Rattus norvegicus: one gene and its partner. The protein of the gene in region 1 interacts with the protein of each later gene in a biochemical or structural test. Links are inferred from orthologs where the notes say so. Each region holds a gene or a part of one and is shown in the gene's direction. Other genes may lie near its edges.

The links.
Region 2: the proteins of Dok1 (region 1) and Fgr form a complex in vitro, tested with the Homo sapiens proteins (2 studies listed by BioGRID, with this or other methods). The link is inferred for Rattus norvegicus from reciprocal best matches to the Homo sapiens genes DOK1 and FGR.

The regions. Positions count from the first base shown.
Region 1 is NC_086022.1:117,094,767-117,099,093, reverse strand, and holds Dok1 (docking protein 1), read left to right. Parts: upstream 1-1,459; 5' UTR 1,460-1,467; coding exon 1,468-1,527; intron 1,528-1,546; exon of another isoform or gene 1,547-1,695; intron 1,696-1,790; exon of another isoform or gene 1,791-1,795; coding exon of another isoform or gene 1,796-1,834; coding exon 1,835-2,134; intron 2,135-2,273; coding exon 2,274-2,367; intron 2,368-2,483; coding exon 2,484-2,668; intron 2,669-2,838; coding exon 2,839-3,642; 3' UTR 3,643-3,923; downstream 3,924-4,327. UniProt on the Homo sapiens protein: DOK proteins are enzymatically inert adaptor or scaffolding proteins. They provide a docking platform for the assembly of multimolecular signaling complexes. DOK1 appears to be a negative regulator of the insulin signaling pathway.
Region 2 is NC_086023.1:150,494,245-150,497,890, forward strand, and holds part of Fgr (tyrosine-protein kinase Fgr), read left to right. Parts: intron 1-1,012; coding exon 1,013-1,116; intron 1,117-1,249; coding exon 1,250-1,399; intron 1,400-3,646. UniProt on the Homo sapiens protein: Non-receptor tyrosine-protein kinase that transmits signals from cell surface receptors devoid of kinase activity and contributes to the regulation of immune responses, including neutrophil, monocyte, macrophage and mast cell functions, cytoskeleton remodeling in response to extracellular stimuli, phagocytosis, cell adhesion and migration.

The DNA.
Region 1 (4,327 bases):
GAAAAGGGAGCCTAGGAGACCTGTCCTGGAGATCTCAGCACTAGGAATGAGAGGAGTCTTGGCAATTTCCTATGGAGGCAGATGCCCAGGCAGAAAGGGCTGAGGCTAAGCAGAGCAGGAGAACCTTCTGCCACCCTCCCTAGCACATGGGCTCCCAAATATGCTGCAGAGTCAGGGGCTCCAGGAGATCTAGACTTCAAGCTGGGCAGGGTTTGGTGTGGAGTTATCCAAGCTCCCTGTAACACCTCTCTTTCTGTCACTGGGCAACCAGAAGCTAGGGCTAGCTCCTTAGCTCAGGCCTTCTGTATCCAAGGCTGAAAACAGTCCTTCCCAGTAAGGGGGGCCCTGAATTGCTTCCCCCAACTCAGACAAGACAGCTTTGTTCTGGGGGCATTTGGCTCCGAAGCCCGGTGTTCAGCTTAGGGCCTACAAACTGCACCCTGAAGTCTCCATCCCCAACAATCCGCTCAGCTCTCTGCTTTGCTGTTTCGCTCCTTTAGCAAGAATAAAACTGTCAGTTGGTTGGCTTCCCCGACTCCATCCCAAATCAGCCTTTCCCCTGGTCCACCATCCTCTCCATCCACAACTCCTCTTCCCGCTGGCCGGCTGTAACTCCCCTACCTTCGACTAGGCAGAACTCCAGAGGCTGGAAGCAGAGTCCTGGTCCTGGAGATTACTTTCAGGACTTCTCAGAAAAAAAGTGTTCGGCCAGGGGAGACTGGACCCCCCCTTCCTCCCCCCTCTTCGTTGGTCCCTCCTACGTCCTCTAGAGCCCTCCCACATTCCGCTTTCTCCCTCCATTCGGGCCAGGCCAGTTCCCTCCTCTAGATCTTCCCCTCCCCTGTGGAGCTGGCTGCAGCCACGCCACCCCCTCCCACTCCTCCGGGCTCAATGAAGCTTTCTTTTCCCGCAGGTTGGGAGGCCAGGCAGCGGCGTTCAGGATGCTGGACTTGCAAATGGTTTCGGGACAGCAGGATGGCCCCTGTGGCCGCAGGAAGCTTTTCAGCCCGTAGCCGTTTCTCCACATCTCCAGCTAGACAGAGTATCAACAGACCAGTCCAATTCCAGAGCTGGACCATGGGAACAAGGTCCCACAAAGAAAACTAATGTCCTGAGGGCCCTCTTGGTCATTATGGCGACCCCAAAGTCCCTGCAGGTGATGTCACGGCCTTCACTCTGATGTCACGTTAAATATATGTCGTCACTCCCAGCTTCCACCCCCAGGCACTAGGGCCTTTAGTTGGTGACCGCGACTTCCCTGAGTAGTGCCACTGTGCGTGCGGTGAGATAAAGGCTCCCCTTGGGTTCTTCCTGACGGCTCGTTTTCCTTCGACCCCTCCGTCCCCGCCCCCCCTCCCCGCATCACCGCCGCAGGGGCCCGGGAGGGGCGGACACGCCTCCGGCACCCTGCAGCCCCGCCCAGCCCCGCCCCCAGGGCCAGGAAGCGCGGAAGGAATCGCCTTGGCCATGGACGGGGCTTTGATGGAGGGTCCGCTTTTTCTGCAGAGTCAGCGCTTCGGGACCAAGGTAGTTTGTTTGTGTCGTGGGGGGATGGCAAAACTCCCCTGGACTAGAAATGGGTGAAAGAATCCAGAAAGAGGGAATGGGCCGGAAGAAGGTCGGAACGGCGCGCGAGCAATCGTAGAGCCCCTAAGACGTTCGTTCCCTTGAAAGTCTCGGGCTGTGCCCTCCTTGGTGCGGATTTGGGATGGCATTATCTTTGGGAAAGTAGCCCAGCCTGGGAATCCCCAGACTCAGATCGGCCTGCGTGGGTCTCTTCTCCCTTGTAGGGCGCATGCTGCCGCTCACTCTCGAGTCTTTCGTTCTTTCCCAGAGGTGGAAGAAAACTTGGGCTGTGCTTTACCCAGCCAGCCCTCACGGCGTGGCGCGGCTGGAATTCTTTGATCACAAGGGGTCGAGCTCTGGAGGGGGTCGAGGCGGCTCTCGCCGTCTAGACTGCAAGATGATACGCCTGGCTGAATGTGTGAGCGTGGTGCCTGTGACTGTGGAGAGTCCCCCTGAGCCCGGCGCCTCTGCCTTCCGCCTGGACACCGCACAACGCTCGCACCTGCTTGCAGCGGACGCCGCATCCAGCACTGCCTGGGTGCAGATTTTATGCAGAACCGCTTTTCCGGTGAGTGTCTGGGGGTGGTCACCCCTGGGCCTAAGGGGCACTGCGAGGATGAAACTACTATAACGGCATTGGACTTCTTGCACCTACCCTAGACCCAAGAGAATTATGTATATGGTCCTCGATGTTCTCTTTTCTGCAGAAAGGCGGCTGGGCTTTGGCTCAGACGGAGAACCCACCTAAGTTTTCTGCCCTGGAGATGCTGGAGAATTCGCTGTACAGCCCCACCTGGGAAGGTATTAGTCTGGCAGAAATGGAGTGGGGTGAAGAGGTGCCCTTGGGGAGATAGTGATTGGAGTCTACCAAGTCCCCAACCTGCCCCGGCGCTCCTTCTCTTCCTGTGTTCTTCCAGGATCCCAATTCTGGGTAACCTCGCAGAAGACCGAGGCTTCTGAACGCTGCGGCTTGCAAGGCTCCTACGTACTGAGGGTAGAAGCTGAGAAGCTGACCCTTCTGACTTTGGGTGCACAGAGTCAAATCCTGGAGCCGCTCCTTTTCTGGCCCTACACTCTGTTGCGACGCTATGGCCGAGACAAGGTGCATGGGGCTGTCTGGGAGGATGACCATCGGGGAGGGCTACTGGGTTGGGTAGCTGTAGGTGACAACTCCATTCCCAGGTAGTCTCTTCTGTGCAGATATACTAAATTGGTCAGACCTGTGACTCATTTCTTTAGACACTCCTAACCTGTTTCCCTCCACACCCTCAGGTAATGTTCTCCTTTGAAGCGGGTCGCCGCTGCCCCTCTGGCCCTGGGACCTTCACCTTCCAGACTGCCCAGGGAAATGACATCTTTCAGGCAGTTGAGGCTGCTATCCAGCAGCAGAAAGCCCAAGGAAAGGTGGGACAGGGACAAGATATCACCAGAACTGACTCCCATGATGGGGAGACAGAGGGGAAGATGGCTCCCACTCCTGTTCCCCAGGAACCCCTGGGCAGCCCTCCAGCCCTATATGCAGAGCCTTTAGACTCCCTGCGAATTCCTCCAGGCCCTTCTCAGGACTCTTTGTATTCAGACCCCCTGGGCAGCACCCCTGCTGGGGCAGGGGAAGGGGTGCAGCGGAAGAAACCTCTCTATTGGGATTTGTATGGGCACGTGCAGCAGCAGTTGCTGAAAACCAAGCTGATAGACTCCAAAGAGGACCCCATCTATGATGAGCCTGAGGGCCTGGCCCCTGCCCCTCTCCGGGGCCTTTATGATCTGCCTCAGGAGCCTAAGGATGCATGGTGGTGCCAGGCTCGGCTGAAGGAAGAGGGCTATGAGCTCCCTTACAACCCCGCCACCGACGACTACGCTGTGCCACCCCCTCGGAGCTCAAAGCCTACCCCTGCCCCCAAGCCACAGGGCTTGATCCTTCCTGAATCTGGTACCACAGCTGGCAGTGGCAGCAAAGGCTCAGATACAGCTCTGTACAGCCAGGTCCAGAAAAGTGGGACCCCAGGGAGATGGGACTGTGGACTCTCTAGAGTAGGGAATGACAGGGTGGGGGTCAAGTCAGAGGGTTCCACCTGAGACAGTTGCTGATAGGAGGTCCATGGGGTGGTGGCACTGAAGATCAGAGAAACCTGAGGGTGGGAGGGGCCGGGGGACCAGAGGAGTCAAGTGATGACCAGTCCCCGGAAGTTGTGGGAGTAGAAGAAACAAGGCTGCTGGACTGACTAGGCCTGTGGGAGAGGTCCACTGGTCAGAGTGAGGACACTTTGGGGAGGCCAGTATGGATCCTCACTCTTGTTCTTTGCCAGATACGTTTTAATTTATAAGGCAAATCTCATTAAAGGTGGCTTGATTGAAAAGGTCTCTGCGCATGAATAGACACTGGGGCAGGCATGCGCTGGGAGGGTGGGGAGGGGTCAAGGGAGGAAGCAGAAATATGTTGGGGACCGTGGAAGGATGAAGGGCCCCAGGGAGGGAAGCCTACAGTGTGGTGATTCACAGCCTGGGTGGTCATAGCCTCTCCTGGGCCGGTCTCTGACTCATTGACCCTGTTGTCTGTTACCTGCCATTCTTAACTCTCCTCTGCTGCCCTTACACCAAGTGTGAGAATTTGGCTGTGCTACAGAAAGGCAGCTGGCACGAGATAAGACACACTTCCCCAGCTCTTAGTGTAATCTAAAGCATAGAAGGCACTTTACCAATGGCAGCCATTTTTCTGTAGTTCGAGGGAGCTATAGAAGGTAGGCAGGCGTGGGGAGAGCAG
Region 2 (3,646 bases), on another chromosome or scaffold:
GGACTTCTTTTTTTTTTTTTTTAAATTTATTTATTTATTATATATAAGTACACTGTAGCTGTCTTCAGATACACTAGAAGAGGGCATCGGATCTCTTTTACAGATGGTTGTGAGCCACCATGTGGTTGCTGGGAATTGAACTCATGACCTCTGGAAGAGCAGTCGGGTGCTCTTAACCGCTGAGCCATCTCTCCAGCCCAAGGGTCTGGACTTCTAAGGCTCGCTTTTTTTTATTTTTTTCTCGGAGCTGGGGACCGAACCTAGGGCCTTGCGTTTGCTAGGCAAGCGCTCTACCACTGAGCTAAATCCCCAACCCCAGGCTCGCTTTTTTTGTTGTTGTTTTGTTTTGTTTTGTTTTGTTTTTGTTTTTCAGAGACAGAAGGGTTTCTCTGGCTGTCTTAGAACTCATTCTGTAGACCAGGCTAGCCTTGAACTCACAGAGATTCACCTGCCTCTGCCTCCTGAGTGCAAGGGTTAAAGGCCTGAACCACCATGCTCTGTCCTCTCCCTTTTTGTTTTTAAGGGAGTGTCTCATTATGTAGCCCTGGCTGGCCTAGAACTTGCTGTGTAGGCCAGGGTAGCCTTAAACTCAGAGGGGCACCTGCCTCTGCCTCCGATTGTTGGGATTATACCACCACACCAGGAAGAGTCTAACAATTTTTTTTTTTTTTTTTTGGTTCTTTTTTTTCGGAGCTGGGGACTGAACCCAGGGCTTTGCGCTTCCTAGGTAAGCGCTCTACCACTGAGCTAAATCCCCAGCCCCGAGTCTAACAATTTTAATTCAAGAGACACCAGTAGAAAAGAGAATCTTAGGTATCCACCATGTGTGCCAGACCCTTTTCCATTCCCCTTCTCTGGGATCCTATACTCAAGTCATGAAGCAGATTATAACAGTCCATTTGTCAGATGGAGAAACTGAGGCTCGGCTTGTGCGGTGACTTCCCGGGGAAGATGGGAAGGTGGACTGTTGTTTAGAGAGGATGCGCCTGATTCTGCCTGCTCTTCCCAACAGGTGGTACTTCGGAAAGATCAGCAGAAAGGATGCAGAGAGGCAGCTTCTCTCCGATGGCAACCCTCAAGGGGCCTTTCTCATTCGGGAAAGCGAGACCACCAAAGGTGGGTTGGTACCAGCCATTGGGACAGCGGGAGAGGCGGACCTAACTAAGATGGACTCTGGGAACTGCCTTTGGGGCCTCTTCCTGCTCTAAGTCTGAGGGGGAAGAGGACTAAACGGACCCTTTCCACCCAGGTGCCTACTCCCTGTCCATCCGTGACTGGGACCAGAACAGAGGCGACCACATAAAGCATTACAAGATCCGAAAGCTGGACATGGGTGGCTACTACATCACCACGCGGGCCCAGTTCGAATCCGTGCAGGACCTGGTGCGGCACTACATGGGTGAGCTGCTCAGTGTGACCAGGAGGTCACGAAGGGGACACTGAGGCCTAGAGAACAAAAGATCTCCTGAAGAAGTAGCAGCTAGGCCAAGAATGCGTGTCCCCAGGCTAGGGTCCTGCGCTGAGTGGATTCTGAGGACACCGAGGCCTGACATAGCAATACCTCCTAATGCTTGCAGCCCTAAGCCTGTGGGAACTTTCGAAAAAATTTACATTTTATTTATTATGGGGGAGGGGCTCGTGGGTGTCAGAGGACAAGCTGTGGAAGTTCAGGTCATTGGGGTGACCAGCAGTCACCTTTCCCCGCTGAGCAAAATCTTGCTGGTTTCGGTCCATGGAGACTTTGTGGGGCCTTTGCTGTTCTCTCTGTCTCTGTCTGTCTCTGTCTCTCTCTCTCTCATTGTGTGTGTGCGATTGTGTGTGTGTGTGCACGCGTGTGTGTGCACGCGTGTGTGTGCACGCCATGTGTGGAAATCAGAGAATAGCTTAGAGAAGTAAGTCCTTTCCTTCCACCACATAGGTCCCAGAGACCAAACCTGAGTGGTCACGCTTGCTGGCTGGCACCTTTACCTGCTGAGCCACCATGTTGATGCTATTGTACTTCCTAGGCAGTCATCATCCTAGGTTCTAAGCCAGCAATTCTCAACTTTTCCTGATGCTGCCACCTTTTAACACAGTTCCTCATGGTGACCCCCCCAACCATAAAATTATTTCATTGTTACTTCACAACGGTGATTTTGCTACCATTACGAACTGTAACGCAAATACATGATATGCAGGATATCTGATATGTGACCCTTGTGAAAGGGTCCTCCAGCACCCCCAGAGGGCTCATGTCCCACGGCTTGAGAACTGCTGCTCTAAGCAGTCGGTTGCAGAAGTTGAGCAGAACTGGGAGGAGACTCTCTGGCTGTTGTGTGCTACCTGGACGTCAGGGACAAGGCTGAAGGCGAGGTCTCTTGGACAGCTTGGGTCATTGCCCAAGCAGTGACAGCAAGCAAGCAGAAGACAGTGATTCTAAAGCTGAGCAGGAGGCAGTATGGTCCTGACTAGACGGAGGCCTGCTGTGGGGGTTAAGCAACTGTTGTCCGTCCTGGAGTAAAACCCAAGCATGGCAGTCAGGCAACGTCATTGCCTAGTGTTCTCGTCTTGACTGGGTAGGCCCAGGATGAGGACCATGGCAGGAATGGGTTCATGTCCACAGTTTTGGCTCAGAACCTTACCTCAGTTTTCACCTGTCAGAACTGGTCCTGTCCTTAAAGGCCTGGCTGGAGGCCACCTCCTGGGAAGACCATAAAGGTTCCACAGAGATCTCTCTCTCTCTTTTTTAAATTAATTATTTATTATATATAAGCACACTGTCTTCAGACACACCAGAAGAGGGCATCAGATCTCATTACAGATGGCTGTGAGCCACCATGTGGTTGCTGGGATTTGAACTCAGGACCTCTGGAAGGGCAGTCAGTGCTCTTAACCACTAAGCCATCTCTCCAGCCGGAGATCTTCTCTCTTATGTGTCCCGTCCTTCCTTGGGCACCAACAAGTTTGCCTACTCAGAGGACTGAGTTGCAAATACAAACCTTTTTTTTCCTTCAGTTTTTCAAGACAGGGTTTCTCTCTGTAGCCCTGGCTGACCTGGAACTTGCTCTGTAGACCAGGCTGGCCTCTGCCTCCTGAGTGCTGAGACTAAAGTTTTGTTCCACCACTGCCTGGCTTCTTTCTTCTTTCCTTTCTTCCTTTCTTTTCCTTTCTTTTTTTTTTAAGATTTATTTACTTATTTTATGTATGAGTACACTGTCGCTGTCTTCAGACACAGCAGAAGAGGGCATCAGATCCCATTACAGATGGTTGTAAACCATCATGTGGGTGCTGGGATTTGAACTCAGGACCTCTGGAAGAACAGTTGGAGCTCTTAACCTCTGAGCCATCTCTCCAGCCCTTCCTTTCCTTTCCTTTCCTTTCCTTTCCTTTCCTTTCCTTTCCTTTCTTTCCTTTCCTTTCCTTTCCTTTCCCTTTCTTTCCCTTTCTCTCTCTCTCTCTCTCTCTCTCTCTCTCTCTCTCTCTCTCTCTCTCTCTCCTTTAATCCTGGCTTGTGAAAACAAACTGTAAACTATTTCCATTTCTCTGGATTGATTGATTGATTGATTGATTGATTGATTGATTTTAGACCCTGTAGCCTAGACCAGCACCAAATTCCTTCCTCTTTCCTCAGCCTACTGAGTGCTGGAATTACCAGCATGAGCCACCA